Caenorhabditis elegans: one gene and its partner. The protein of the gene in region 2 purifies or fractionates together with the protein of the main gene of each other region. This does not show direct contact. Each region holds a gene or a part of one and is shown on either strand. Other genes may lie near its edges. The genes, in order: rpb-6 and gtf-2E2.

Region 1 (14,941 bases), 960 kb from region 2:
CTTTCAATAAAAGCATATCGGCAACAATCGGAAGCCCCAAGACAGCAGAGAACGGCCAGCCAACCATAGTGGAGAAAGCGACGCAGAAGATTCCAGCTGTCCTGTAATAAGAAGAATATAGATAATTCTAAAGCGCGAAGATTTTCTATTTTTGCTCCAGAAATACGGTAACCGGTCTCGAAGCGACTAATGTTTTGAATGGAAAAAATGGTGCGCCTTTGAGGATTACTGTAGTTCTCAACAAGGGTGTGGGATATTCGATTTTCCGTTTTCCAAAATTTCGACAAATGTTTCATTTCAAAAAAAATCGTTTTTTTTTTTTAAATTTATTTTGAATTTTGGTCATTTTTCCTCTTTGTAGAATTGAATTATATGTTTTTCTTATCAGAATAAATAAAATTCGATTAAAATTTTTTTCAATTTTTCGGTTTTTTTTTTGTGAAAAAATCTAATCCCGCGACAACGGGGAGTTATAAACTACAGTAATCTTTAAAGGCCCATGCTAGTTTGAATTCTAAAATTTTTTAAAAAGCTGGTCGCTTCGGGACCGGGTACAGTAATTTCGGAGCAAAAATCGTAAAATTCCGTTTTTTTTTAATTTAGAAAGTGAAGTTTGTATTACCAATTCTCGTTGAGATATGCTCCAAGTATGTAGAAAGTTATAGCCATACAGAATGAAGATGGAACGAATGCAGTACTTGCCAGGAACATTCCAGATGAGAAAATTGAGAATAAGATGAAGAATCGGCCAGTTGCAATGTTGATTTTCTTACAAATGGCATCAAATGCATAATATTCTCCCAACAAACAAAATAAACCAATTGTCAATCGAATAAGAGTGAAAACTACAATTTTAGTGTCACCGAACAAGTTGGCAAAAAGACTCGCGGGAATGTAGTGGAGGTAAATGTAGAAATACGATCGGATGGCATAAACGGGAGAGTATTCCCATGTTTGAAATCCTTCTCCGTAAAGAAACAAATGAAGTGGCTCCCAATAGTTGTAGACTTCATCACAATCATTGATAATACCCCATATTGCACCGGAAATTCGAATTGAGAGCAACATTTTGAAGACTGAACCGAAGGAAAATGGCCAGTCATTGTCTGGATTGTTGGCTTTGTGATATAGTTTTTCGACTTTTATCTTCTTTTTGTCGGCGCTGAAAAAATAAAAAAAATCAATTTTTTAAAAAATATTTTTCGTTCTTCTTTTTTCTCGTTTTTCCGATTTTCAAAAATTGAAAATTTTTGTGTTTTTCCTAGAAAAAAAAAATGGTTTTAGTTCGAAACAAGGGTAGTTTATAAACTAGCTTTTAAAAAAATCATAAATTTTCGATTTTTTTCATATTTTTCGTGCATGTTCTATACTTTTTTCTAAAGTTACCGATTTCTAAAAATCTAAAAATTTTGTTTTGACCGCGAAAAAAACTATTCGAATTTTCAACAATTTCCGGTTTTTTCTTAATATTTTAAAGAAAAATTCGTTGTTTTCTTATCAATATTAAATTTTTGATAAATCTAGTTTTTAAAAAAATTTGAAAAATGTCGCTTTTCGCAAAAAATCGAATAATCAATAATTTCCTGTCATTTCTCGATATTTTACATAAATTAATTTTTTTTTCATCAAAATCAACTTAAAAATCAGGTTTAAAAAACCATATTTAGAATACTCAAAAGTTTTTATTCTTCGATTTTCCGATGTTCAATTTTTCGAATTCCAATAAATTGAACATTTGCTTTTTTTTTTGGGTGAAACCTGGTAGTTTAAAAGGGTTTTTCAATTCAAAAATGTGTTCAACTCACTCAAAACTAGATCGATCAACTATTCTTGGCGGTGGTTTCTGTGGCGGACCACTGCCTCCTTTTCTTCTATGCGTCACCATGGTTTAACCTGAAAAATGTGGATTGAAAAAATGTTTCTAACAAGATTAACAAATAACAAGTGGATGGGATATCAACCAATCTAATCAATTTTTTTGAAAAAAAAGTTCAAAATCTGTAAATTTCATAGAAAAAAAAACAAAAAAACGAGAATTAAAAAAAAAAGAATAAAATGAAAACAAACAATGAAAAAAAACAATAGATAGCTAAAATCCTAATAAATACAAAAATTATTTCAATTTTCACTTTAAATCTCTATCTAGAAAGCATCATTCTTTTTTCTTTCCATCATCATCTGATCTCTTTTCCCTACTTCTCCATCGTCCTTTTCCACCACCACGTCCTCCTTCATCTTTCTTATTCTCTTCACCTCCTCCTCCTTCACGTCCACTTCCCTCACTCTTCACCACTTTCACCGAATATTCACTGCTCAAATCACCAAGTGGTCCATCGGCTCCACGAATATTGGCTGAAGTGATGCGTGCTTTTCTCTTGTCCACTCGTACTCCAAATCGTTCCCTCACGTGCTCCGTCTGCTCCTGATCTGATTTCAATTTTCCATTGTTGATAAAATTCAAAAGATCCTGAATTTCATCTCGGAATCGAGCATTCTGCTTCGCAAAATCCTTTACAATCTTCTCATCAGAATCTCCCTGAGCAATTGTAACTCTCCAATCGGGACGAACAGCCTTCTGAAGTCTCACAAGATTTGCACAGTCGGATAATCTTCCAAGTCCACCAAAATAGTTCAAAAGCTTCTGAATGTTATCGTTCAGTGCCAAATAAAAAGTGAATGGTCCAAAGTGACGAGTTGAGGTTACGACATGGAATTTACCAGATTCATTGATACGATCAAATACGAGTTGACTCAAACGAACATAGGCCGGATCGTCAGGCTCGTAAAACCAGCAAGCCCAGTCTAGAACGAATTCGTGATCATTCTTATCAAGAGCATTTTGTAGATTTGGATCCGAGAAGAGTGGTGGAGGATTCACAGAACGATTCGGTTTTTGATAATAAGTTCTGTTCATTCGATCATGTTCTTCTGGATTCGCAGTTCTCAATGTACCATCGGGTTCTCTCACGACTACAGTACGATCCTGGTCGGTCGCATCGAAAGTGATATCAGTGAATACGAATTTGCTAGTGTCAAAATCCTTCAATTCGAGATCTTTGGCGAGGATCTGAACACTCTCCTCGCGAGGTTCTTTCACTGGAACAAATTGTAGGAATCTGCGAGCTTCTTCACGCATACGCTCTCGAGTCTGGAAAAAAATAAGTCAAATTGAATAAATAGCTTCTCATTTTGGTGAGTAGTTTCTAGTCTAGCAGATCCAAGTTTATCAGAAACTCGACTGTAAATCGACAAATGCGGTAAATTATAAATCATTTTCAAACAAACCTTTTCAAGTCGTTCTTCAGTCATAAGAGCGAAATGAGATCTTTGTTGAATCGAAGTTCTTCGCGGTCTGAACACTTTGTGCTCCAAATCAATTTCTGTTAAATCCGTCAGTAGCTTTTGCACTTCCTTCTCAACGAAGAGTTTCTCAACATTGATGTCGTCTGGTGTTTTAGAGTTACTGAAAATGAATCATATTAAATATATATTTTACAAAATTTAAAATTCAAATACCTTGCTTTGATCCATTGCGATGCAGATCGAACCTCGGCTGAAAGCCGGGTTAATGCCGAAACTCGAGGTTTCAGCTGGAGCATGGAGATCTGGATCTGGAAATTGATGAATAAAAATAGAATAAGATACAGAGAATAAATATGAAATCCCGATCAGAACAGGAACAACGAACAACAAAAACAATGGCCAGTTGTATAATAAAAACATTATTTTTCATTCTCTATTCATAACAAATAAAACTAGAGACCTAAAAATTAAAAAAAAACAGAAACACTCAACAAAAAACGTAAATTATAATGATTTAAATCAGTTGAACGCACAAAGCCTCTCGTAATAATATGGATTGAATGCGCTGAGATGCATAAGTTGTTTCCTTCCTTCCTCGCTACGAGCTGCAAACAATTTGGAAATTGCAATATAATGGGATTGGCGGTCTCTCACCTGCTTTTGATGCTAACCAGTTCTTGTTCACATAGTAATTATAGATTGCATCTGTTTCGGCTTCCGTATAATTTGACGTTTCAATTGGAACGAATGGCTGAAAAATTAGTTTTCAAGATAATATATATGCTTTCAATTTTACCTCAACATATTCAAATCCTTCTTCTCCAAACAATTCCAATGGAGTGTGCCTGGAGACTCCGAGATGATCCCTGGCGTCTGCAACCTCTTTCTTATCTGCAACCATCAGAACACATCCATTAGTCCAATCATTTTCGATCATTCGCCGGTAATGTACAACAAGAGTAAGATCCGAAGGTGGTGCATAGGTTCTATCAGCTCGTTTCACCAAAGTTTTTCCCCACAGAGAATTCGCATCATCAATCGCCACTAGAACCTTCAGTTTGTCATCTTTTGCGTGGCGTCGGAGCTCTCGGAAGATTGCACCAACACAATCACTGGCAAGGAACGGAGCAGAGATTCCCATTTCAATAATTTCAGTGATAGGTTTTCCTTTCAACGTTCGTTCACTTTTCGACCATTCATAATCTCTTTCAGTGAGCAACTCTCCGAGAATCTTCCAGATATGTTGGTTTTGTTGCTTGAAATTTTGGAGAATAGAAACAGAATTCGATGGATCATTGATACGGCCTTGTACAAAAGATGACATCTCAATTTCTTTTACTCTTCTTGTCAGCTCCATTGCACTTCTTAGATGAACAATTGCCCATTTATTATTATAAGCATGATGAACAGCTTGATTGAGAGTAACCGACTTTCCGGTTCCGAAAGCTCCCCATAACACGAGGCGAAGAGCTGGAAGACTTTTATCCACAACTCGCATACAGCTTGCTACTTCTGCCATTGGTTCTCGGATCTGAAAATATATTTATTGAATATAATATTCCATTGATTATCGCCGACTAACCAAGGTAACAACTTCTCCCAACGTATCCATCTGTTTAGAAAGTGGAGCTGGCAGATGATTTCTCATATTAAGCTGTTTGGCAACTGGCATCTCAATTTCGGAAAGAGTTCCAACATCTGCTAACTGGGAATTGGATCGTCTCGAAATATGCAGCTGGCGAGCCGGAAGTCGGCGAGCGATCTGGCACATTAGGTTTCCACACGGCTTCATTCTGTAAAACTTGTCTGAAGTTCCGGGAGAAATCTGGTAAAAGTAGATAAATTTCGACAAAACGTAAATTGAATTAGAAACTGGATCACAAACTAGGTGAAATTTTTAATTAAAACTGGAAAACAAAACAATGAACAAGAACAGGAGGAAATCAACAAAAAATTATTAAACGTGAGCGTATTGTAGATCATCACTGTTTTCATATTCAGCCATATCCAAGGCAACTTCGCAGCTTTCTCGAACAACACGCTCCTCATCATTGACGTATTGCTTCAAAATCTCCGTACATTCTTCGTTGGCAATTGCTCCAAGAGCTTCAGCACATTCGTGACGGACCATGCAATTTTCAGTTGACAGTAGAAGACGATCCTTCAATTCTTGAGTGGCAACAGGCGACTGAAGTTGTCCTAAAACGTATGCGACTTCGTGACGGAACAAAGCACTATCTTCACAGTAGAGACCTTGAGCAAGAGCTTTGATGGATTTATCTGTCTTAATGTTTCTTAGACTGAACATCGCACGATATCTGTCGAAAAGTGGAAGTGAAGCGTCGATCAGAGTGGCTGCGAGCTCTTCGACGTCGGATGTTGAAGCTGATGGTGTTGGATCTACAAATTAAACTTTTATAAGCAAAATATGTTTAATTGAATCGCTTACCAACGCTATCATAAGGGCTGTTGGTATCCTTTCCACTTTTTTCAACCCATTCCACCCTTCCTAATGCAATTTGGCATGTCTCGGAAACTTCTGGACACGGATCTTGTGCATATTTTCGGAGGACATCTTTGACTGAAGGATCAGCAATTGCTCCCAACGCTTCACCGGCTTCATGGCGGACCATTGGCTCTTGCTTCTCGTCCTCAAGAACACTCACAAGTGTTGGAATGGCGTGCTTGTTCTGCATTTGACCCAAGCAGTAAGCCAACTCATGCTTCAGAAGTGCTGATTCGTCATTCAGACATTTTCCAATCCAGTCAACAGAACGATCACATCCAATATTCCGGAGAATAAATAGAGCTCGGAAACGAGCTTTCAGAGGTTTCCTGAAAATTTTCATTTATTAATTGGAAAAAAATCTACAAGATTACTTTGTGTCGTTTAATGCCTCTCCAAAGCTGTCGATTTCGGCATCAGAGAACTTTTGCGAAGCGACCATCTTTCCCGTTGTTCGAGTTGAATCTAAAATTTTATTCATTAATTTTCAAATAACATTGTCAACAAGGAGAGAGAAAGAGAATAATACGAACGGAACAAAATAAAAATGAGAGTGTAAGATCAGAAATGAGGAGAGCAAAAAAGGTGAAACAGTTAAAATGAGGAAAAATTAGAGAAACATTTCTCTACCAATCAGCGAGTTGAAGTTGATCGGTTGGCCAGTCTTCGTATGATCCATCTGGAAGGTAGCGGCGGACAATGATCGGGATACGGCGTTGTTTAAGCTCCTTGCGAGCAATCTCCAATGGATCGGTCTCTCCTTCAAGTTCAACCATAACCGGAGCTCCCATGGCGATTTGGAGAGCGCGAGTGCCAAGAACTCGAGCTCGTTCGTATTTTGTCATGAATGGAGTTGTCACATGCTCACTAGTCGGAACAGCCTTTCCTTGATCGAAAAGCTCGAAATTCTCGTCCACGTTGTCATCGTCCTCGTCCTCATTGTCAGGGCGTTGTGGATCTTCTTCGATCACGTCCTCCATTTCGTTGTCGTCAACGAAATCATCATTATCCATATCTTGATAATCGTCCTCATCGGCCATTCTGAGTCTGCAAAATTGAATTTACTAGTTATTTCTTAACATTTATAAGAAAAAACCGATAATCAAATGAAATACAAGAGTGATACAAATATAAATAGGAAAATCAATACAGAACCAGGCCTAAAGATATTTCTACACGGATGATTCAACATTAGATTATTGTAACAGTGAAAAATTATCAATTTGTTAAATATTAAAACTTTTAAAGATATTTTCAATTTATTCCATTCAGGAAAAGCAAAAAAGCAAAAGAAAGAAAATTGGTTCTACGAAATTGTTCAGGTGGATTTACGTTAAACAAGACGCAAGGCGTAACGGTGGAACGTCGTTGTGAGAGGCAATTTGAATTCTAGTGAAGGTCTCACAGCGAAAGTCACCTACAGTAACCCAGAATTTTAGGATTACCTGTCGCGAAGAAGGAGAATATACATATTCATCCTATCACGACTTTTTATAGTAAGGGGTTCAAAAGCAAATGAACACAGAAATGAAGAAGTAAAATGGTAACGGAAATGGTCGGGTCTTGCTTAGTATCACGAGCTGATAATAAGCCATTTTTGAAGGGGCCGGGAGTGTCGCGAATACGCAGAATACTGATATTCCGCCGATCACGACTTAAGAAATGATATTAATACCCAGGAAATGCGTCAAGGAAATATTAAAGAATTATTATGATTATTACGAAGTCTTTCCGTATTCTAAATGCTCACGACAATCCACGGAAGTCATCAACAACGACAAAGCCGGGAAACTCCTGTTTGAAAGCCGCGCCAAAAGACACACACGTCACGAGTGTTACAGTACTACCACACATGCACATCAAACCCCAACACGTCGACACCGCGCAAGGAAATCGTCACTTCTTCGTTTTACTCTCGGACCGGCAGGTCGCATGTTAAATATATGAGCTTTATCATTTTTATCATTCAACGGATTTATTAGTAATAAATTATGTAATTCTACCACTTTTGAACCTATACCGATACGAAACATTACCGCGATTTTCAATTTCGTATTTTCTTTTCCCCTTTTTCGCGGAATTTGTCGTTTTCGATGCTCGTTTTGTGTGTTATTTTTATATTTTTGTTTCAAATATTAATGTCGCACCTCCTTGATATATCAACGCATTTTTTTCTATACTTCCTACACTACTTTTAATTATCAATTTACAGGACAAAATCGAAAGATGCCAGCCCTTCCATCAGTCTACACGCCTTCTGGAGCTCCATCGAGCGTCCACGCACCACCTGCCGTTCCACCAGTTCCAGTTCCAACTCAACCGCTAAGATCGGAGTATCAGACGTCTAACGACGCTTGCATCAAGAGACTGGAAGAGCTCAATGTACGTTTAATCGGTTTCATAACCTTCTAATTTGTTAAATTTCAGATCGCTCCAGCTGCAAAGCTGTATCCAGCACCGACTGAACCAGGAAAATGTGGCGTTGAGGCCGAAATACAAACCAACGTATTCGGAATCGAGATGCACCAGGACTCGTTGTTCTATCAGTACAGCGTTCACATCACGACGGAACTGAAAAACGGGAATGAAGTTACTTTCACCAAGAAGGGAAAGGATGAGTAAGCTACCGCATTATTTAAACCTTGCTCATAATATGTTTCAGTTTCGTCGTTACTGAGAGACGAAAAGTGCTGTGCGATTCTGTTTCGCGCTCTTGGCGATTATGAGGAGTTCTTCAGAACGTCTGATAGCTGTCTCATTTACGATGGTCAAAGCATTCTGTTCTCCAACGTGGATCTTTTCCAAGGGTTCAGAGAAGGCGCAGTAAAGGTAAATACAATAAATCTTGATCAATGTTATTCATAATATTTCAGACCAAGTACATGCAGCTTGATGGAGGAGAGATTGATCATAAGGATCTCAAATCGTTGCCGTGTATCAAGCTGGAGGTGTTCCCCACTAAAAATCCAGCGGTCAAGTTCACACGAGAAGACGTAGCAAGACGAGCTTCTGACTCAAACCTCGATTCTGTCAGCTTGGCATACCAACAGATCCTCGAACTCGCTCTCACTCAACCATGTATTCGTAACACTGCAAGATACGTTGTTTTCGATCATGGAAAAATGTTTTTCATTGACCCACTCGGTGAAGGATTCGAGAAGTCCGACGTTGTTGACGTTGGGGATGGAAAGCAAGTTGTACCAGGACTCAAGAAGACGATCAACTTCATTGAAGGACCCTATGGCAGGGGGCGGAGCAATCCATCAGTTGTCATTGACGGTCAGTGTTCAAAATAATAATCTCATAGTTATTTCTTTTTTCAGGGATGAAGGTCGCTTTCCATAAGAATCAGCCAATTCTCGATAAACTGAAGGAGATAACTACGCAACCTGTGGAACACGGCCTGAAGGGACCCGAAAAGGACCGCTGCGCAGCTGTCATCAAAGGTCTCGATTGCTATTCTACATATGGTGGTCGTGAACGTCATCACAAGATCGAGGGAATCCATCACGAAGGGGCTGGAAATGCTCGTTTTCAGCTCAATGACGGTGGAAGCTGTACTGTAGCTCAATATTTCGAAGACGTATACAACATCACTCTTCGCTACCCAGGCGCAAACCTCATCGTTTCCAAGGAGAGAGGAAATATCAACTTCTACCCGATGGAATTGTTGAAGATCAGTTCTCATCAACGCGTTCAGATCCCGCAGCAAACCAGTGCTCAGAGTCAAAAGACCACTAAAGAAAGTGCTGTTATGCCTGACGTTCGCCAGCGTCTGATCATGACGGGAAAAAATGCGGCGCAAATTTCATCGGACAACGAGGCTCTCGGTAAAATGGGTGTCTCGGTGTGTGAAGAACCGCTCATGGTCAAAGGACGCTCAATTCCTGCCGTCAAGTTGGCGAACGCTGAAAACGGAACCAATCCAATCAATGTCAAGGACAACAAGTGGCGTCCCAACCGCTTCACTCGACCAGCCACGGCGCCGAATGTGTGGGCGATATATGTCGTCGGTACCACATCAACTCGCATAACCTTGGATACTCTGAAGTAAGTTTGGCAAAATAGTTTCATATCTCAATTCTACGTTACAGGAAATTCGCAGATGAGTTTGCGGCTATGTGCAAGTCAAAAGGAGTCAACATGCCTGCTCCTGCTGACATGTCGCTCATTCATATGGACGCCATCGAGAGTCGTCTGTACGACGCTATGAAAGCAAATTGCATGTTCGTTTTCATCATAACGGACGATTCAATCACTACACTCCATCGTATGTTATATTGTTTACGATATTTATCTATATTTCTATCTTTCAGAGCGTTACAAGGTGATTGAGAAGGATACGAAGATGATCATACAAGATATGAAGCTATCGAAAGCATTGAGTGTTATCAATGCAGGAAAGCGGTTAACTCTCGAAAACGTTATCAACAAGACGAATGTGAAACTGAGAGGATCCAACTATGTTTTCGTGGACGTCAAGAAGTATTAGTTTCTTTTTCCGAAATTCATATTAATTTAATATTCTTTCAGGCAGCTCGACTCGCATCTGATCATTGGAGTTGGAATTTCCGCGCCACCTGCCGGGACCAAGTACGCGATGGAGAACAAAGGAGTTCTAAATCCCAATGTTATTGGCTATGCATACAACGCACAGCACAACCAGGAGTTCAGTGGAGACTTCATGTTAAACTCTGCCAGCCAAGATGTGAGTTTCCAGTCCATTTTAGAATAGTTTCATTCCATTCAATTTCAGACTCTTGCGCCGATTGAGGATATTGTGATGCACTCGCTCAGCGAATACCAAAGGTTCCATAATGGCGGTCTTCCGAGACGCGTCATTATCTACCGAACTGAAACAAGCGAAGGAAATCATGGATCAATCATGGCCTATGAGATTCCTCTTGTTCGTGTTGCCATGAGAGGTTTCTCACCTGAAATTCAACTGGTCTACATCGTGGTGTCAAAGGATCACAGCTTCAGATTCTTCAAGCCGGATGTGGTTTGTTATTATTAACCTTGTATTTCAATAACTTCCTGTATTTTCAGACAAGTCTAGCTGCCCGTCCACAAGCGACTTCCAGCACCGCAAGCAGACATTCTGCAATGCCAGCCGCTCCAAAAGCATGGGATCTGAATATTGCTCCCGGTATTATGGTCGATTCCATCGTGACAAATCCGGCCTGCAAGCAATTTTTCCTGAATTCCCACATCACTCTGCAAGGAACTGCGAAAACTCCATTGTACACAGTTCTCGCCGATGACGCCAAAGTCAGCATGACGGCATTGGAGGATATCACGTACAAGCTGTGCCATCTTCACCAGATTGTTGGACTTCCGACGTCGCTTCCAACTTCATTGTATGTCGCCAACGAGTACGCCAAGAGAGGACGCAATCTGTGGAACGAGGCAGTGTAAGTTTTGCTATCGCATTTTATAGATAAACTATTTTGTTTTCAGGACCATGGATAACATTCCAAGTGTTAGCGGCCCGGAGGCAGACCGTCTCAGAGAGTTGACCAGCATCATCTGCTACAAAGCTTCGGGAGATCTGACGGAACGTCGTGTCAACGCATGATCACCTTCAACAGGCAAATTTTGTTTCATTAACCACCTCATACTTTCCTCGCTGTTCCATGATCCCTTTTCTCAATTGTTTTTGACTAATGATTCCTTCCCACTTGTGTAATTTTACAATGTTACAATTGCAATAAGCTTACCCATACTCACATAGTTTCCCAGTGTATTAATATTGCCCATTCTTGTTATTTCATACTTATCCTGTTATGCACATCCCCCTTCTCCTTGTTAAATATTTGTGTAGCACCCTTTGTGTAGCAATTTGTCATCGCAATTTCTTTTCTCTTTGAAATTACGATGACAAGTTTGCTCTGTGGCCTTTTTTCTTTTTTTCGTTTGTTTTCTTTTACTAATTTCTCGAACATCAACAGATGTTTCGAGAATTTAGTTTTGAATACTAATATAGGCAGTTCAAACTTAATAAAAGTTAATAGCTTTCGAAGTTGTTGTTTTGTTTTCTAGTTTCAGGATCGGTAATCAGTGTCATGGTGTCGATCAAATTCATTGCGATCTCTGCAAATGAAAATTCGAAATTGGTCTGCTAGACAGGAAGTTTTATTATTAATTCAAAAGAAGACTTAAAATGTGGATACTAAATATTTGCAATTCGTTTGAAAATGAAAAATTGAAATTGCAGGGCAACTTTTAAGATGTTTTCACATGACCATTAATGTTACCATTGCGTCCGACCAGACACATTAAAGAAATTTGACTGAAATTTCAGTTTTATCTGCCAATGGAAATTTATTATAAATAAGAAAAAAACCAATTTAAATCAAAACTATTCATTCGATGAAATCTAAATCGGTTACTTTCCACTGCTTCTATTCCTTGACAAATGGCTTAATGGCATCTTTGTCAGCACGAGCCGCATCAATGTTTGGATCGATTGCAATCGCCGGAGCTGCCTTGGCCTTGGTGCCTTCCGGAAGTGGCGGTGGGATCATTTGTTGGAACGAGATCTGAAATTAAAAATTTTATTACTTTGCGAGAGTCTTCTGGATAAGATTACCTGCAAGTTAGCGTTCAAGCAAACCACTGCAGCAGCGTTGGTGAACTGAGCACAGTAGTTTGGCACTGAGAAGACAGTTATCAGACGGCGTCCAGTCATCATTTCATATCCATCCTGGACGACTTGATGAGCGCGAATGATCAGATCAATCTCCAGGGACTTGCATGCCTGCTCGACGACTCCTTTACCAAACATGTAGCTGATTCCTGAAAAAAATCGCATTTTTGAGACTTATGACCTTAAAAGGTCTCGAAACGACTTAACAGCAAGGTGTAGAGACTACTACTGTAACAATTAAAGACGCATGCCTTTTTTGCACACTTTTCAAGACGTTTCAAGACCGTAATATTGGGTCTCGCCGCGAGAAAAAGCTTGTGATAGCGGTTTTTGAACAAAGTAAAAATGTTTCTCTCGGTGAGACCCATTCAGCTGTGGAATTTTCATACCTCGGATAGAATGGAACCATCCTTCTCCCTTGTTCGTCGGATCCGACCACAACAAATCAATGAGCAATCCACGATCCAGCGGCTCACACGGACGTGGAATGTTCCTGATCGTATCGAGATTGATGAGCTCCGGTGAGAGCCCACCGTGCATACAGAGCACTCTCTTCGAGATCAACCCAGACATTGGCATGCGGTTGAAGCATGACTGGAAGTCCCACCACAAACCGATTCCATACTTGTATTGACACTCCACATAGAATCCATAGATCTTGTTGACCGACGGTGTCTCATGGTTTCCACGAAGCAAGTAGATGCGATCTCTGTAGCGGATCTTCAAGCAGAAGAGAAGGATCAGAACTTCGATTCCTTGCGGTCCACGGTCGACGTAGTCTCCAAGGAACATGAGCTTCTCCTCTGGAACTCGACCGATCAAATCGAACAAACGATTCATGTCCTGGTACTGAGCGTGGATGTCCCCGATGACTTTGATGGGAGCCTCGGCTTCACAAAGATTGCTCTCCTCCATGAAGATTGCCTCGACCATCCGGATAATCGAAATGATCTCGTGTCCAGTCATCACATTGCAAATGTTGATGTTCGTGTCCTTGTAGAGACCTGGAAAAGTTGGAGGTTTATGGTATTTAGTGAAAGCGGGACCTACTATTCATTCTCTTGATGCAATCATCCATCCATTCAGCCAATTTCGGATTCTCCTTCGCCAGATCGAACTTTGATATCTCAGATGATTTTGGACCTGGAAAAAGAGTGTCATTAGAAAGTACGAAAATCTGTGATTTTTGAGCAAAAGGAGACCCGGTGGATCGGTGAATGCCAATCGGGCAGATCAGTGCATAGTTCCTGGGCGTAGACAATCCACCAGATTGTAATCCCCCGATTTGCCGAGTCGGATCCACGGTAGCTGACAGGTTTTGGTCGTTTCAAGACCCACTGGTATTAGATGCTGCACAGCAAGTCGCGGTGAGACCCAACACCAGCGCGAGCATCCCAAACGAGAACAAGCTTACCTTCTTTCGATCCTTTCTTGTTGTTATTCCCGTCGGTGCTCATCATGAAGACGTTGCTAAATCCTCTTTCGCAACCAAGCACACTGCGTTAAAATTGAGAACTGATTTGTTTCAAAACTGAACTAAACTTTTTTGTATGTTTTTTTTGTATTCAAAAGTTTACGTTTTTTTTTAAGTTTTACCAAATTTGTTCAAATTGGAAGTTTGAAGGTTGTCACGATAAAAAATTGACCATTTCTTTACGGTTCGTTTTTTAACACTTTTATCGCAGTCACGACATTTTCAGAAATTGAAAAAAAATAAAATAATTCCAGATGTTTATTAGTTATCAGCTAGGATCTCGAAAAGTGATTGAAAATTTACAGAAAATGAAAAAAATAAAAGCTGTACGCGTATACATACAAACGGGGATACAAATGTTTTAGCAAGAGACGCAAAAAATGAAAAAAACAGAAGCTCTAAATATTTGAAGAGGATATTCGAAGAAAAAATGATCCAATCAATTATCGATCGAGTGACGTCTGGCTTGAAGTGGGCTGCAAATTGTAGATTATTACTTAAAAATCAATTTTAAACACATTTTTTGGACACTTCAATATAAAATACTATCATTTCACTGATTAATGGAGTACGGTACCAAATACACGCCAGACAAACGCGCATTGTGTACAGTAGGCCAGGGTAATTGAAATGAAATGACAATAACTATAACAACCACAGGGAAAACTAAATAATCGGGGAGTAATATTAATAAAAATTGAGAGAGAAAAGAAAGGAAAGAGTACGGTAGAAGTTGACAATGTATTATTACAGAAATAAAAATTTGAAAAAAAATTGACTTCTTTATTTTCAAACTGGAACTACGAACCTGAAGAATATGGAGAAGAAGAAGAAGAGGAAGAAGAAGGGAAATATTTATATTTCTACCATTCGAATGCTCCTTATAACTCGCTACAATTCAACAGACAATCATTATTTTTAGTTTTTGAAGATTGATTTATTGGGATGAGTCCCTTATTATGTTTTTAGTTTTTTACCTAATTCTAGATCGAAAAGATGTTTAAAAAAT
Region 2 (16,061 bases):
CTTGCGCAATCAGTTGGTCAGGTGGTCTAGGACCTTTACATGTAATATAATTCATTGGTTTGTTGCTCTAGATCTCAAAGAATATGGTTTTCCTGCTGAGAAACAAAATTTTTTTTTCAAATGTTCGCGATATTATACGATTTTTTTGCGCTGAAAAATACGGTATCCGGACTCGACACGACAGTTTTTCAATAAATTCGGAAAGGTACATATGCGCCTTTGAAGAGTACTGTAATTTTAAACATTTGTTGATGCAGTAAATATTCTCACGGATTTTTAGAGGTTTTTTTTTGAATATTTATACAGTTATATTAGAGTTAAAAAAATAAATCTATTTTTATCGAAATTTATGAAAAATCTACTCCCCAGAAACAAAGTTTGAATTTACTTAAAATGTATGTGCGCCTTTTTAAATTCAACAAAAATTTATCAAATTTTGTCTTTTTAATCACTTTTACTTTTTTTTCGAAAAAAAAAAAAACTTTAAAAACACCGAAAATTAAAATTTTTAATTACCGTAATCCTTTAAAGGCGCACACCTCTTTTTCGCAATCATAAAAATTTACAGGCACAGAATTTCCTACTGTAACGTGTTTTCTCGATAGAAACGTTTCTCCAAATCGAAATTTTTATTAGCAATCATCAATTCGTCATGTTTCTGTGCTGGAGCACATTGTTATGCAGTGCTCATGAATATTCACAGTTGAAAATCGAATTTTTTTTTCTTATTTTTATTAACTTCTCTCCTCACTCAAGTGCAATCTCATTTCGGCGGAACGATGAAAGCGGACTCGTTTGAAACGGATTACACTGCTGGCTGGCTCCATCTTTTTTATTTCTGGTTTTTTTCCCGACACGGGAGGTCATCCGTCCACGTCTTCAATCTTATTCGCTTCTCCTTCTATCTATCTCTCTTCCAAAAAAATGGAACAGATTGTCCGCCTTCTACTTTCCGCATGCGCCTATTCTAGACATCGAGAAGAAGCGAGAGAATCCGAAAAACTCCGCCGTCCGGCGCCTAGCGTTCATCCCGTCGCATCCAATTTCCTTCACCCCTGTCTCCAGTCTCTAATCTGTGTTTCCCAGACCTTCTCCTTCTTCTTCTCCCCTCTTTCTTCCCTTTCTTTTCTACGATTCCTAGACCTGCCCGGTTGACCATCGGGCCCACCATTTATCGAGCGCGTCCGTCTGTTCGTTGCTGTGAGCGCGCGCGCGCGAGCGCACACTGCACACCATTTGACCGCAACGAGCCGAGAGAGTGTGTGAAATGAAGAGACGCCGAGTGGACACGTTGCTCTACACCAAACGCGCTACACCAAATGGGCGGAGACCCAATGGTGCACCAAGTCAGCAGTATAAAAGGAATGGAAATGGTCCATTCAGTCATCAGTTGTTTTTTTATTTTCTCTTTTCTCCCATCACTTTCTCCCTTCTTCCCCTCTCCTAATTTCCATTCCCAACTATTATTCTCGGATCAGATCGAGCCATTGCTGGTTTCTTCCACAGTGGTACTTTCCATTAGAACTATCACCGGGTGGAAACTAGCAGTGGCTCGATCTTTTCCACTTGCTCCACCGCTGTCGGGGAACCGCGCCAATTTTCGCTTCAGTGCTAGACCATCCAAAGTGTCTATCACCGGGTGAAAATTCGCATGGGTCCCCGACGCGGAAAGATAAAATATCTTAAAATCGATTCTAGAAACCCTTGGACCAGTGTGGGTGTCCGTTGCGGTGCTACATTCTCTAATCTGTATCACCGGGTGAACACTTGCAGTGGTCCTCGTGGTTTCTCTGTGAGCCAGGTCCTGTTCCGGTTTTTTCCGTGGTGATAACGCATCCAAAAGTCTCTATCACCGGGAGAAAAACTGGAGTAGGACCTGTGACTCATTCCGATTTCTGGAGTTTTCCCCTACATTCTACCATTCAGCTACTGATTATTGAATTCCTGATATACCGAGAGCCCAGCTGATTTCGTCTTGGTAATAAGCTCGTCATTGAGATTATCACCGGGTGTAAATCAGCTTGGCTCTGGTGTCTCCGAACCTCCTGTCCGCACCTCAGTGGATGTATGCCATGATGATAAGATATCAGAAATCCTATCACCGGGTGTACATCAGCTAAGGTGCGGGTACAGGTGCATTTGATATCAAGGTGAGTTATTTTTAAGTGGGTCCCAGAGACCTTGGTGGTTTTTCTCTGCAGTGATAGATACTTCTAACAACTCGCTATCACCGGGTGAAAAATCACCTAGGTCTGGAGCCTCCTGCTCTTTTTTTGCTGTTTTTAAACTTAAACTTAAAACTAACACTTTATCAAAATAAAGTCTTCCAAAATCTTTTTTCTGATCTGCCGGAAGACTTTCCATGAATTTGTCCAAAACTCGTTGCACTTTATCCTCGTCGTAATCATTTGACACCATATCTTTGGATAACTAGAATAATTGAACATTGGTTTAAAAAAATTCTCTCAAAAAAAAAATCACAAACCTGATGAATTTTAGCCTCATCTATAGCAGTATCTGCGAGAAGAATCGTAAGATTCATTGATAATTCTATATATTTTCCAATAATTTTATCCGAAGCTGGATGTGAAGTTTCTACAGTACCTCCGTGGCATAATACTACAATGGAAGCAAAAAGAGCGACAATTAGGATCGTCATTTTAGTGGAGAATGATGAATTGACCCGGCTCTTTGGGGGTTGGAGGATTCATTTTCCCCTTCAACAGGTGCTCAAATAATTAAAGAGAATAGAACCGACGATATATGGGTCAAATGTTTATACAGTTGTGCTACTAAACGTATTGTTACACGCGTTATTAATAATTAGAATTAGAATTATATCGTTTTGTACGGATTGAGAATCCCATTTGGGTCGAAAATGTTCTTGAGCTTCTTTGTCAAAAGTCGTTCTTCAGGATCTTTTCCGAATGTGGAGTACGGTAGCTTCAGTTGACCGATTCCATGTTCAGCTGAAATTGACCCGCCGTGATCGACAACCCATTCGTAGAGGAAGGGATAGAGCCTGGAATTTGAAATTATTAATAGAATTAAAATTTTATAAAAAAGAAAAATCTCGAAACTTACAATTTTTCAAGTTCTTCATTGTGTTTTTCAGATGTAATATTTAAATGAGTGTTTCCATCTCCCAAATGTCCATAAGTGACAATTCTTTTAGCCAAAGAACCACATCGTTCCTTCATCACATTCGTCAATTCATAATAATTTTCCAATGGTAAAGAAACATCATGCTTATAGACATATCCATCTCTGGTAACCGCCAATGGTGCACTTTCTCTCAATTGCCACATCTTCGTAGCTTCTGCAGAAGATCCAGCGAGCACTCCGTCGATAATCAGATTTTTTGAGAGGCATTCATCCAAAAATGCGCTCATTTTCTCCATATCGTGATCTTCATTGGATCCTGATGTTTCGACAAGGATCGAGAATGGGGTTGGAGCATTCAGTACTGGGTGCAATCCTAGATTCGTTTTCAAACATTCCATCGTAGCATCGTCGAGAAGTTCGAAGGAGGAAAGGATTTCAGTGAGGCTGGATTTTGCAAGCTTCAGTACTTCGCAGCATTTTTTGAAGGATTCGATGCCTGAAAAAAATTAGAAATTGAAAAATTTGAACCCATTATATAAATATTCAACCTACCAAGCATCGCACTTTGTACACTTTTCGGTTTAGGAACCGCAGTCATTGTGACGCTTGTGATAACACCCAACTGCCCTTCACTTCCCAAGAATAGGTGTGGAGTGTGCAAAGTTGTGTTGTCCTTCCGAATGCTTGATCCCAAATGTAGAACAGTTCCATGTTCATCGGGAAGAACCACCGTGAGCCCGAGAAGATGTGCGTGAAGACTTCCGTATCGAATCAACCGAATCCCTCCTGCACACGTGGCAATATTTCCTCCAATCTGACAGGATCCTTTGGCTCCGAGATCAAAAGGCATCATATATCCGAGTTTTGCAAGTTTGTTGTCCAAGTCTTCCAGAATAAAACCAGAATCACACTTGAGAATTCCCATTGTGTCGTCGAAAGAGAATTGCTTGTTGATTTTATTCATTGATATAACAACTTCATCATGTACTGGAATTGATCCACCAACGAGTCCTGTATTCCCTCCTTGTGGGACTACTGCCAATTTGTTCTTGGAGCAATACGCCAATATTGCAGAAACCTCTTCGGTGCTCTTCGGGTAGAGGACGACACTGCCAGGACCTGGAAATTAAAACATTTAATATTTAAAGTACCTATTTAATATTAAATAAACCTAATCTTAAAATACAAATACCTTTAAATTGGCCTGTCCAATCTGTAGTATGATTTGTAATATCGTCCTTCTTCACTGCATCTTGCCCGAGAAAATTCTCAAATGCCATTAAATCCGACTGCATCACTTTTGCAAATCCTTCATGTCTGGCGGCAAGAACTGCTGCGTAGCTTCTAGTTGGTCTTCTGATTCGTGGCAAGATTTTCAGAAACATCTGAATTCAGAAACTTTTCAAAAAATAACTTGAAACTTCAAAAGAAATAGTAGGAGACAAAGCTCGGCTAGGTGACCGATTTGCCGAAAACAATAAGAAAACAAACGGCTGGGCAGTGATAAGAAAAAGAGACAGAAGAGATACAAATGATCATAGTTCATTTTATGTACTGTTAACAGAAGTGTGTAATTAAAATCATTCGTAATCCTCCAAAACTCCGTCCATATGCTCGTTTTGTACTTTTTGATTGAACCGTCTCTTCGCGGCTTTTCTTTTCAGTGGAGCCTGCATTCGAACCTTCGGCGTCAGATCCTTCATCGCGTCGAGACCCTTCTTCTGGAGATATTCTTCGATTTTCTTCTCATCCAAATGATCCACAGACACGTGTCTCCACAAGGCTTTGAAATCGTCTTCGAGCTCTGGGAATGTGAATTCTTTGTCATTGTAGAAGACGACTCGATCCTTTTTCTTATTGACTTGTGTCGGAACAACGATCACTTCAGAGGATACTTGCTGGAAAAATTTAATTTAATATTTCACAAAATTGCTCCTTTTTTATACTTTGATTTTTTCAGTTTGACAAATTTAAAAATTCTGATTTTTAATCAAAATTAACCCTAAATACCCTAGTTTTTGAAAAGTTATAATGAGAATATTCTGCCTTCAAAAATGTTTTTCCTTTGAAAATTTTTTAAGGAAAAAGGTTTTATGCTGGAAAAGTGTAATAATTTTTTTTTACTTTATTAAATATATTTTTTCAAACCTTTTTTTTATCGATTTCAATGTTTTTTTGTGGAATATTTAACTTATGGGATCGAAAATGATCAAAATTATTCGTGTAAAAATTGAAAAATAACGTTAATTTGTTCAAAAGTCTGAAAATAAAGTAATTTCTGAATTTTATTTTATAAATTTTCAACACATTTTATCTTTTTTGTGAATTTATATATTTAATTTTCAATTTATTTCAATTTGAAAATCAAAAAAAAACACATTGTTGAATACTCAGAAATTCTAAAAGATCTAATTCATCACAAACTCAAATTTTAATTACTACGAAAAATAAGCCGCTGATAATTTTAAAATCAATTTTACTAATTTTTAGCTGAAATTTTTGAAAAATAAAAACTTTATTTTTGTTATAAATTATTCAAATTCCCACCTGCAGTAGTGCATCATAATTAGCCACACACTCAGCCAAATCCGACACAAGAATTCCACCTTTTCCGTCCTGATAATGTTTCCTCGCGACAGCTACCAACGAAGTTTTTCCTTTAATTTTGTAAGGTGGTCGAAATGCGAATTTTTCGGATTCCATTATCAGTCGAGGATTGTTTGGTAATGCTTCTTGAAGGAAAGCAAGACTTCTTTTTGAAAGATCAAAAATTTGAAGTTCATCGAGAATTTCTTGAAGTGTCAACGGCCATTGTTGATTGTTTAGGTGGCGTTTCTGCAATTAACTGTTTTTAACTCGAAAATTTCGCTTTAAAATATAAATACCTTCATATAATCCACAATTTTCGCCATTGTACTGAAATTTGTGGCATTTGATAACGCATTGGCGTTGCTCACGGAATTATTGAAATCTGGGACTGAAAATTCCGTTTTCAGAAACTAATATTACATTTTAACAACTAACGTTTCGACAAATTTTGAGCCGGTCCAGAGCTTTTCTTCTTTTTCGCTTTTGCTGCTTCTGAAGAGTATGTTGTGTGTGAATTTGGTGCTGTTGTCTTAAAAAATCGATAAATTCAATATTTTTTTAATTTTTAAAGTTCTCACAGGCTTATTCTGAACAGCCATCGTTGTTGCAGCATGCTTCTGGAAAGCAGTTCGCTGCCTTAACAATTCCGGATCCATTTTTGCTTAAACGAAAACCTTTCGAAACAATGAAGAGTACTCTCTTAAGAGTGAAAATCGATGATGGAAGAGGTTTTTCAAGGCCAGTGGCCGGCAAATAATGGTGGCAGGGGGCTGAACCCTGTAGTAAACAATAAAGTGAATTAGTTTTCGCTGATTTTATCAGAATGAGAAAGATGGAACAAGGAGTGAAAGGAGCTTTAAATTTGAACAATTAAAATTAAAATTAAAGTGAAAGTAAAAGTAAAAGAAAACAAAAACAAAACTAATTCTACAGTTGGAAGCTATTTTCAAAATTTTCTAGACAGATAAAACATGATTTATTCCAGCTGCTCCTCTTCTTCTAGTGGATCATTGACGAGTTCAGCAGCTAGGTCATTTGGAAGCTGGAAGCCTATTTGGTGAAGAACCACTGTGTTTGATATATCCGTCAACAGGCGAGCCATTGAGAGCTGACCGTCGAGCTCTTCGCGGATCTTTTCAGAACACTCGGTTGTGTTTGTCGCGTTCTTTACCATTTCCTTCAACCGTGAACTTTGAACGTTCCAAATCTTTTCGAGAAAAGCTTTGTAGCAACCGTCTGTAATAATAATAATATTCGTTATTTCTCGCACCGAAAAGATGACAGAACGCCGCTCACCGTAATGACCATCGAGTTGCGCAAGATGATTGAATGCGTGGTGCAGTGGTTCGGCGAGAAACGTGGCAGGTGCAGCCGACCAACGATAAAGATGGTTGCGTACGAGACACACCATCTCCGCGGCTTCATTCTGGAGAGTTTCATAGTCGTCGCGGCGAGGATCGAGACAGGTGACAAGATATTCGCTGAGCAATCCTGAAGAATCAATGGCCAGCGCCATAGAAGATGAGGTCTCAGACCAAAAGCCTTGTACTTCGCAAACTTCTGAAAATTAAAAAGCTATTAAAAATTAAAAATATTAAAAAAAAAAATATTACCAATGATCCGGAGGAAAAGCTGATAAAGTTTCTTCCCGCTCCACATTTGGTCCGAACTCTTGGAATTATTCATGATGCGAAGAGCGCGGATTCCATTGAGCAACGTTGACAGCAATTTCCTATAGTTTGGCTCACTCTTCCGCAAAGTGAAGGTATCTGAATCGTCCTCACAGAAATACGCCCAGTCGACGCGTTCGCCAATTCTTGAAGATCTTGTTGGTCCGAATAGGATGTAATAGAACTTTCCCTGATATTTTTCAATTACGTTTCGGATCAGAACAGACAACCAGGAGCCAAACTCGATAATCTCCTGTGGAGAAGCTTCATCGATGTCTTGACTCAAGTTGAGGAAGAGTTGGGTCAACCCGGAACGAACTTTCATCTCGAGACCTATCAACTGGCCCGGTTTAGCAGTAAGAACCTTGATAATCGAAGGACGGAGATCAGCGTCGATCATGATTGCAGCTTTTACCATTATACGACGTTCAGAGAACTTCCAATTGTGCGTTATCGTTTCCAGGAGTCTTCCAAAACCATGAAGGGAGCCTCCGAGTTGATCACGCAAATTCCGGCAGATGTTCAGGAAGACTTGAGCGCGGATCTTTGTGTTCATTGTGATCGTGATGGATTTGATGAGGCCACCTGTTAAAATACATTTAGATTTATAAACGAAAATAAAAATATTGCAACACTAACCACATGCAGTGAAAGGATCATTCTCTAAGAATTCTTCATCGTCGGGGCGGAGTGAGCTATTGAGAAAGTCAAGATTATCCAATTGCATTCGACGGAAAAAATCGTGGGTTGAAACGTAGGTTTTGACTCGTGAGCACAACTTTGTGGATGTCAGTGAAAGCGCATTAATGGATTGCACTGAAAAATGTGAATGTTAAAATTTCTGATCAGTACTTCACAACTAACTGTCAAGAATTGTGAAAATATGCGAATAGGCTCTATTCGGCAGGTTTTCCAAGCCCACTGGTGCATCTGGAGATGGCACACATTTCGAGGAAAATTTGACAGGAACACCTAAAAGTGCTCGCAAATCCTCCAAGGAGTACAAAAGCCCATTGTCTGGTGAATCGGTATGAGAGGTTTGAGATAAGTTGTTGGGAGCTTCGAAACTTTCTGAAAATCAAGAAAATTAATTTTAAATTAAAAGAAAAATTGTCGTACCGTCCAACTTCTGGCATACGTTTTTCGATTCAGAGCTTGAACGTTCCCGTTTTACTGTTGCAAAGAACTTCGTGATTGGGGGCGTCGAATCGGAATTTCTTCGCTTTCTAGCCAACAATCGGAACGGTGGCTCGGTTCGCCGAAACATTTTTATACGAAAAATACTTTAAAATCAGAGGAAAATACTTTGGGACCGGTGAAAAAGCATGGAGGTTCGCACAAACTTGTTTAGGAAAACAGAAATATGTCTCCGTGGCAGGACCATACTGTGCGCCGTTGATGTCCCTTTGATACAGTACTCTTCGCATTATTTATTTTTTTTCGGCGCGCCTAGGGGTTTTCGAGCGCAGAGTTCAGGAGGCCTTCTGGATTATGGATAGAGGCTTGATTTTTAAAATTGTTTAATTCAATACAGTTTTATTAAAGTTTTTTCTAAAAATCTTTTCTAAAAATAATATCTGATTGCTGTTTATACACGAGAACAAAACTAATTTCATGGAAACAATTTTTTCTCTTTATTTTCTCTTCGAATAATTTAAATTTTAACAATTCAGGTTTTAAATAATCAATTTTTAAATAAGCAAGTGAATTTTAAGCATAACTTTTCTTCCTAGTGTACGTAAATCATTCTTTCCAACAAACATATTTTTTCGTGACGAAACTTCGCCTTCCAGAATATTCTTTTTTCAGAAAATAAATACCAAAAAGCACAATTTCTTATCTCTTGCTCATTCTTTTCTTTGTATCGTGCTCATGCTTTTATTCATTCCTCATTTTTATCTTGCGAAACCAATGTATTTTCAATAAAAAAAACGAGTGATGCATGTGCGCTCCACCGGCCGACGGAAGATCGAACATGCACTGCGCTTCGCGAGTAAATAGAACGCTCTGGAAAGTTCCGCACTCTTCTCTCTCATGATTCGGCGCACTCTCTCTTCCATTTCTCCGTGTTTCCTCTTCTGATGTTGACCCATATTTATTCTGCCGGGTGTATTCTTTTTATCTATCTGTTGCTTCATTTATTCCGTTAACCTGTTACTGGTTAATATTTCAAAAATTCATATGATTTCTTTTCAGATTACTTTCCACAATGGGAAAAGACTACTACAAAGTGCTGGGCATCAGCAAAGGTGCAACAGACGATGAAATCAAAAAGGCTTATCGTAAAATGGCTTTGAAATACCATCCGGATAAGAATAAGGAAGCTGGAGCTGAGAACAAATTCAAGGTATTTTTTAAAATTTAGTTTTCTAATTTAAAAAAAAGTTTTTGGTCCTCGGTGAAGGATACTGTACTTTTCATGACCAAGTTGTTATTTTTAAGCACTCGATTTAAAAACGATTTTAATCAAAATATAGAAAATCCCAGTAAAATTGCAGTTTTTCTGGGAATTTATTGATGTTAACCTGAAATAATATTTTTTTTAATTACAGGAAATTGCCGAAGCTTACGATGTTCTTTCCGATGATAAGAAAAAGAAGATTTACGATCAATTCGGAGAGGAAGGACTAAAGGAAGGTGGACCAGGAGCCGGAGGTGGTGGCGGCGGTGGAATGCACTACGAATTCCGTGGAGACCCAATGAACATTTTCTCATCATTCTTTGGAGGATCCGATCCGTTCGGTGCTGGTGGACCTGGAATGTTTGATCTTGGTGGTGGAGCCGGAGGCCCGAATATGTTCTTCATGAATCAAGGTGGTATGGATGACGGTATGTTCGGCGGCATGCATCAAGGTGGAAGACGTGGACATGCTCGTCAAGATCCTGCTGTGCTCCATGATCTTTCTGTCAGTTTGGAGGATGTACTGAAAGGTACAACGAAGAAGATGAAGATTACAAGAAAAGTTATGACGGACAATGCTCAACGCCTAGAAGACAAAGTTTTGACGGTCACTATTAAACCAGGATGGAAGTCAGGCACAAAGATCACATTCCCAAAAGAAGGTGATCAGCACCCGAACAGAACTCCCGCCGACATAGTCTTCGTCATCAAGGATAAGCCACACCCGAAATTCAAGCGAGAGGGATCTGACATCAAACGCGTCGAAAAGATCTCCCTGAAGTCTGCATTGACTGGCCTTGATATTATGATTCCAACGTTGGATGGAGCAGACTACCGTCTTCAATTGAACGATGTCATTAAGCCGGGAACTACAAGACGGTAGGTTAAAAATTTTGAGATTCACGAGAAGTAAATTATTAATTTTAATTCTTTCAGGCTGACTGGAAAAGGACTTCCAAATCCAAAGTCTCCATCTCACAGAGGAGATTTAATCATTGAGTTTGACGTGGAATTCCCATCACAACTCAATCCAACTCAACGGGAAGTGATTCTGAGGAACTTCTAATCGCATTTTTCAATTTTCCCTCTCTTGCTTATCAATCAACTACAGTCGAACCAAGACGGGTAAACAATCACTCTTGATTGCCATTGGATTCGATTTAGCAGTATTCAGTCGCCTTGTTCGATGTTTTCAAGCGGGTATTTAAGAGATTTTTTATTAGGATGTTGTTCTTTTTATCACCCATGTTTCATTGTTAATTACCCATCTCACACATATTGCCCATAGTTATTCAGATGCATTTTTTATCGTTTATCAAGTCTCATTCTAATGACATGAAAACCTTCATTGACAAGATACTCGGTGTAATTGTATCCCCCCTCAACCGCCCCCTCTTTCAATTTTAATTCGTGCTTCCTTATCAACATTTCCGATAAATAAACTTTTAAATTAAAGCAAAAGAAAGTTTTGTGATTTTCGTGTGTTCAGTTGATCTGTCTCCTCATCGTATCGATTGTCTTGTCCTTGGCCACGTGGGGGTAAAAGATGATATCGGGCGTTGAAAGAAAGGAGATGAGGGCACACCATCATCATTCTTTACCAGTTTGCAGCGGCAAAAATGCTGACCAGAGGATTCACGTCAATTGGCAAGATTGCAAGTAGAGGTAATTAATGTTTCAGTTAATATTTAAGGCTGGTGTAGTCGAATTTAATTAAGACTGCTGTAAAAATACAATAAAAACCGCAACAATCACCTAAAATTAGCCGAAAACAATAATCAACATATTAATTATATGATTGTCCGAGAGGAGTACACGCAGAGGGCGCTCGTTCGCGCGCGAAGTTCAAAAAATTTAGAATTATTCGCTATTTCGAAGCCATAACTCACGTTAACGAAATTTTTGTGATGTATCGTTTTTACATATCGTCTAAATTCGACTACACCCAAAAAATTATTCTCAAACTTGAGCTCACCCTCCAAATATTTCAGGTCTCTCGTCGACGTTCTACCAAGATGCTTTCCAGCTTTCGGATCAGCTCACTGAAGACGAAAGATCTTTGATGCTCTCGGCTCGGGAATACTGTCAGGAGCGACTTTTGCCACGTGTCACAGAAGCTTACAGAACTGAAAGTGAGACACTCCATACCGAATTCTTATTTAATTTTACCATAGTCTTGATTTCCAGAATTCGACCCATCCCTGATTCCGGAAATGGGAAGTATGGGCCTGTTGGGCGCCCCATATCAAGGATACGGCTGCGCTGGAACATCAACTGTTGGCTATGGACTCATCGCTCGTGAGGTGGAACGAGTCGATTCGGGATACAGATCTACGATGAGTGTGCAAACGAGTCTGGTGATCGGACCGATCTACAACTACGGAAGTGAGGATCAGAAGCAGAAATATATTCCCGATTTGGCGAGTGGAAAGAAGATCGGATGCTTCGGATTGACCGAGCCGAATCATGGATCTAATCCAGGAGGAATGGAGACAAAGGCCACGTAAGTCTAGAAAATATTTGATTCATTTTCAAAACTCTTGTGTTTTTCAGCTGGGATGAGACCACAAAAACCTACAAATTGAATGGATCGAAGACTTGGATCTCCAACAGCCCTGTCTCTGATGTGATGGTCGTTTGGGCGAGAAGTGCTCGCCACAACAATAAAATCAAGGGATTCATCCTGGAACGTGGAATGAAGGGACTGACGACTCCAAAAATTGAAGGAAAACTTTCATTGAGAGCCTCGATCACTGGACAGATTGCAATGGATGATGTTCCAGTACCAGAGGAGAATCTTCTCCCGAACGCTGAAGGGCTTCAAGGACCATTCGGATGCCTGAATAACGCACGCCTCGGAATCGCGTGGGGTGCTCTCGGAGCAGCTGAAGAATGCTTCCATCTCGCACGCCAGTACACTTTGGATCGCCAACAGTTCGGACGCCCACTTGCACAGAATCAGCTGATGCAGTTGAAGATGGCTGATATGTTAACTGAAATCTCTTTGGGTCTTCAAGGATGCCTTCGTGTGTCCCGCCTGAAAGATGAGGGAAAAGTTCAATCAGAGCAGATCTCGATTATCAAAAGAAACTCGTGTGGAAAGGCTCTCGAGGTGGCACGAAAGGCGAGAGATATGCTTGGTGGAAATGGAATTGTGGATGAGTACCATATTATGAGACATATGGTGAATTTGGAGACAGTTAACACTTATGAAGGAACACACGATGTACATGCTCTGATCCTTGGAAGAGCCATCACGGGACTCAACGGATTCTGCTAATTTTTTCTTTTTTTTCCTTTTTTCACTTATTGTCTAGTCTTGTCATAGTCTATTGCTTTTCAACGCAAAAAGTTTTATTTCATTCCCAAAAATATTGAAGTTTCAATAAATATGTAGCACACGTTGGAAATTCTTTCTTGTTGCTCAATTAGATCAGCCTTTCGAGGAGAGTCTGAAAACATAAAATTTAGTTAGAAAACGTGGTGTTTTGTCAAATTTATTACGCTCCGTATCACAAAGGAGTGCACAGAGTTGATACTCAGCCAAATGCCAAATTATAAATATTGAATTAAAATTCCAGAAAATCAGAAACTTTTACATAACTTTGAATAAATTTCAGCAATGACCTGCAAGTCTTTTATGCATTTATTTGAAACAATTCAGGTGGGTCTCGACACGAATGAAATGTTTCAACTACAGTACCCACTCTCTCGACTCTTTCTAAATATATTTAATTTTCTTTAAATAGATATGAGCTATAGAATTAAAAATTGTGTTCAAATTTTTACTTTTATTTCCAAAACAACCATATTCACAGGGGAATCCGAAAATATCAACAAAAAAAAATGAAACGCTCCGAGTTGAAATCTAGCTGAATTACAAATAATTGGATATTTAAACAATGATGTTTTAAGAATTTTCAGAATTTGGAAATTTATAAGATTACATTAGTTATCTGTGAATTGTATGGAAATTGGTCTCGAACTCTGTATAATTGGAGAATAAATTAATTTTACAGTCATAAATACTAATGGAAAAATTACGGCTTGTCTATTTAAATACACTTATAATGATTTAAAAAGACCGAATAATTTAATAAAACACTTCAAAAATTTTTTCGATTTTTCATAATTTCCGGCCAAAATTTTGTCAAATTGCCAAAATTTCGAAAAATATGAGCTTTTGAGGATATTCTAACTTCGCATGTTTTGACCCTATAATGTTTTAGTACAAATAGCTAGAACAAAACTTATAGTATAAAAATGTAGGAAAAAAACAATTTTTTTGGTCGACTTCCAAGAGTGACAAAACTGAGTAATTGCCACTTTTTGACTGTAAATAAAACATTTCCAAAAAATGCTTGAAAAGTTTTATTATGATATTCGATCATTTTGGCACCATAGGAGTAGTTTTTGATACTTTCCTCACTATCGCTCCTCCACCTTTAATGAATTCGATTTCCCAAAAAGAAATCCTCGACTTTCTTTTCTCCAGAAACATCCAAAACTTGAAATTTTTTCTGGTTTTCGTCAATCTCGTGGTGCGAAGTGATTCCATTCAACTTAATAGAAAAGTTTGAATCGGATCTGATTCAAGAAACGGAGCGTCCTGTGGGCTTGAAGTGTTCTTACTGAGCCCATACAGTCATTTCTCCCCCAGCAAGTCGGATTCCAAAACGTATCTCACCGATTCGCATGTGGTGTCAGACTGTCCCATCGCTTCACTGCACATGAGAAGCGGGAAACTTTTTTTTTGAACATTTATGACGTCACAGCGCATTTCGAATGAATGTTTTTCAATGATTTTCGTTTTTTTATAGTATTTTACTTCAATTCCGCACTTAACTTGCTAAATTGTTACAATTTCGGTGATCAATATCAATTTTAGAAGTCAACATGAGAAAGTTATTTGAAAAATTATTGGGTTGAACCGGAAGTCTTTGTGACTTTTTCAATCGTTTATTTCTCGAAGCAAAAGAAACTTCAGGATAAATTTTATTTGCTATCATTATCATCGGTATACTGCCAACGTGTGCGCAACTTATGAACGTCCTGCTTAAAGAACCCTTCCAGGCGCAAGTCGAAATAATGCTTGAGTGCCATTTCGACACTTCCATGGGAATTGAAGGTTCTTTCCCAGAGGTTACGAGTCACATCGGAAATCAACCAGTTTTCAGATGGGACAATGTCTGGAGAATACGGTGGGTAACGGAGAACCATCCATCCACGCCTGACCAGTTCTTGCAATACTTGTTTCAAGCCGTAGGGACAAACGTTGTTTTGTTGAAAATAGAGTTGCTTGTCCATCAGGGGTGAACGATTGAAGACTTTCTTCAGGTTTCGTGGTTAGATAACGTAGAGGCCCCCAGTAATTATTTTGCTATCAGGTAGCAGTTCCCAGTAGATGGGGCCGTACACTTCTCACCACACTGTGAGCATGACTTTTTTGGGGTGAAGGTCGGGTTTGGCGGCATCCTGTGGGGTCTCTCCTTCTCCAATCCACTGGGCACGCCTGTGGTTGTTATCGTAGAGGTCCCACTTCTCGTCTCCAGTAAAAACTGGGTCCAACCATCAATCGCCCCCGTGGAGAATGAGGAGGGAAAGGGAATCATCCACTAAAAAATCAAGATTGTCTTGTGTCATGGTGTGAGGTATGAATCCACCCCTAATTTTCTTTATTCCGAGAGCTGCCAAGCCCTGTACGATGTTGGTTTAATGAGACCCAGGTGCGGTTGACAGCTCACGGGTGGTTTGGAAAGGATCCGTTGCCACGGCTTTCTTAAACGCATCCAAATCCAATTTATGGGGTCTCATGATCCTCGAGAGAAAAGTCGTCCTTGTCGAAGCGGTGGAACCAATTGTGTATGATATTATAGTGATGGGCATGTGTATGATAAACATTTTCAAGGAGACTCTCTAAATCCTTCATCGTGGTATGAAAGAGGAAGAAGTACATCAAACTATGACACTAGGGGCATACATTGCTGGTTAACTAAACACAGGACAAAGGGAAGGGAATGGGGTGTTTTTTAAAATGAAGTTTCTTTACTCGTTGCACTGCAACTTTTTCCTCACGAGGGACGAGGAAAAGTGGTTTCTAATCCATGGCCGAGGAGCCGACAAGTTTCAGCGGCCATTTATCTTGCTTTGTTTTCCGCCTGTTTTCCTTCGTTTTTCACAGCCTTTTTCCGTTTTTTCTTATTAAAACTGATAAATAAATATTTTTTGCAGATGCTAAAATAATTTCCAAGTAAAAAAATTATGTTATCAGTCGGCAAGTAGCGGTGAAAGTGGGC

Evidence for each region.
Region 1: the proteins of gtf-2E2 (region 2) and rpb-6 fractionate together in Caenorhabditis elegans (co-fractionation; one large-scale study listed by BioGRID). This does not show direct contact.

What each region holds. Positions count from the first base shown.
Region 1 is NC_003280.10:10,571,288-10,586,228, reverse strand, and holds rpb-6 (putative DNA-directed RNA polymerases I, II, and III subunit RPABC2), read right to left. Parts: upstream 6,850-14,941; coding exon 6,436-6,849; downstream 1-6,435. Other genes in the region: Alpha-1,2-mannosyltransferase algn-9, read right to left, coding at 1-101, 623-1,162, 1,806-1,885; mrps-22 (Mitochondrial Ribosomal Protein, Small), read right to left, coding at 2,153-3,148, 3,286-3,463, 3,517-3,599; dap-3 (Small ribosomal subunit protein mS29), read right to left, coding at 3,823-3,908, 3,958-4,054, 4,100-4,834, 4,886-5,095; dohh-1 (Deoxyhypusine hydroxylase), read right to left, coding at 5,261-5,703, 5,753-6,138, 6,184-6,251; Putative serine/threonine-protein phosphatase C06A1.3, read right to left, coding at 12,214-12,351, 12,402-12,607, 12,848-13,462, 13,509-13,601, 13,873-13,915; txt-13 (transcellular chaperone signaling (x)cross tissue), read right to left, coding at 14,372-14,408. UniProt on the Caenorhabditis elegans protein: DNA-dependent RNA polymerases catalyze the transcription of DNA into RNA using the four ribonucleoside triphosphates as substrates.
Region 2 is NC_003280.10:11,536,141-11,552,201, forward strand, and holds gtf-2E2 (Transcription initiation factor IIE subunit beta), read right to left. Parts: upstream 6,356-16,061; 5' UTR 6,351-6,355; coding exon 6,273-6,350; intron 6,224-6,272; coding exon 6,130-6,223; intron 6,083-6,129; coding exon 5,991-6,082; intron 5,941-5,990; coding exon 5,653-5,940; intron 5,004-5,652; coding exon 4,686-5,003; 3' UTR 4,633-4,685; downstream 1-4,632. Other genes in the region: Y62F5A.9 (uncharacterized protein), read right to left, coding at 2,306-2,430, 2,486-2,659; dhgd-1 (D-2-hydroxyglutarate dehydrogenase, mitochondrial), read right to left, coding at 2,836-3,022, 3,085-3,601, 3,658-4,224, 4,298-4,490; F54D5.9 (F-box domain-containing protein), read right to left, coding at 6,671-6,930, 6,991-7,254, 7,308-7,949, 8,004-8,180, 8,229-8,435, 8,484-8,631; dnj-13 (DnaJ homolog subfamily B member 13), read left to right, coding at 9,574-9,711, 9,917-10,644, 10,702-10,831; F54D5.7 (putative glutaryl-CoA dehydrogenase, mitochondrial), read left to right, coding at 11,385-11,430, 11,757-11,897, 11,953-12,268, 12,319-13,045.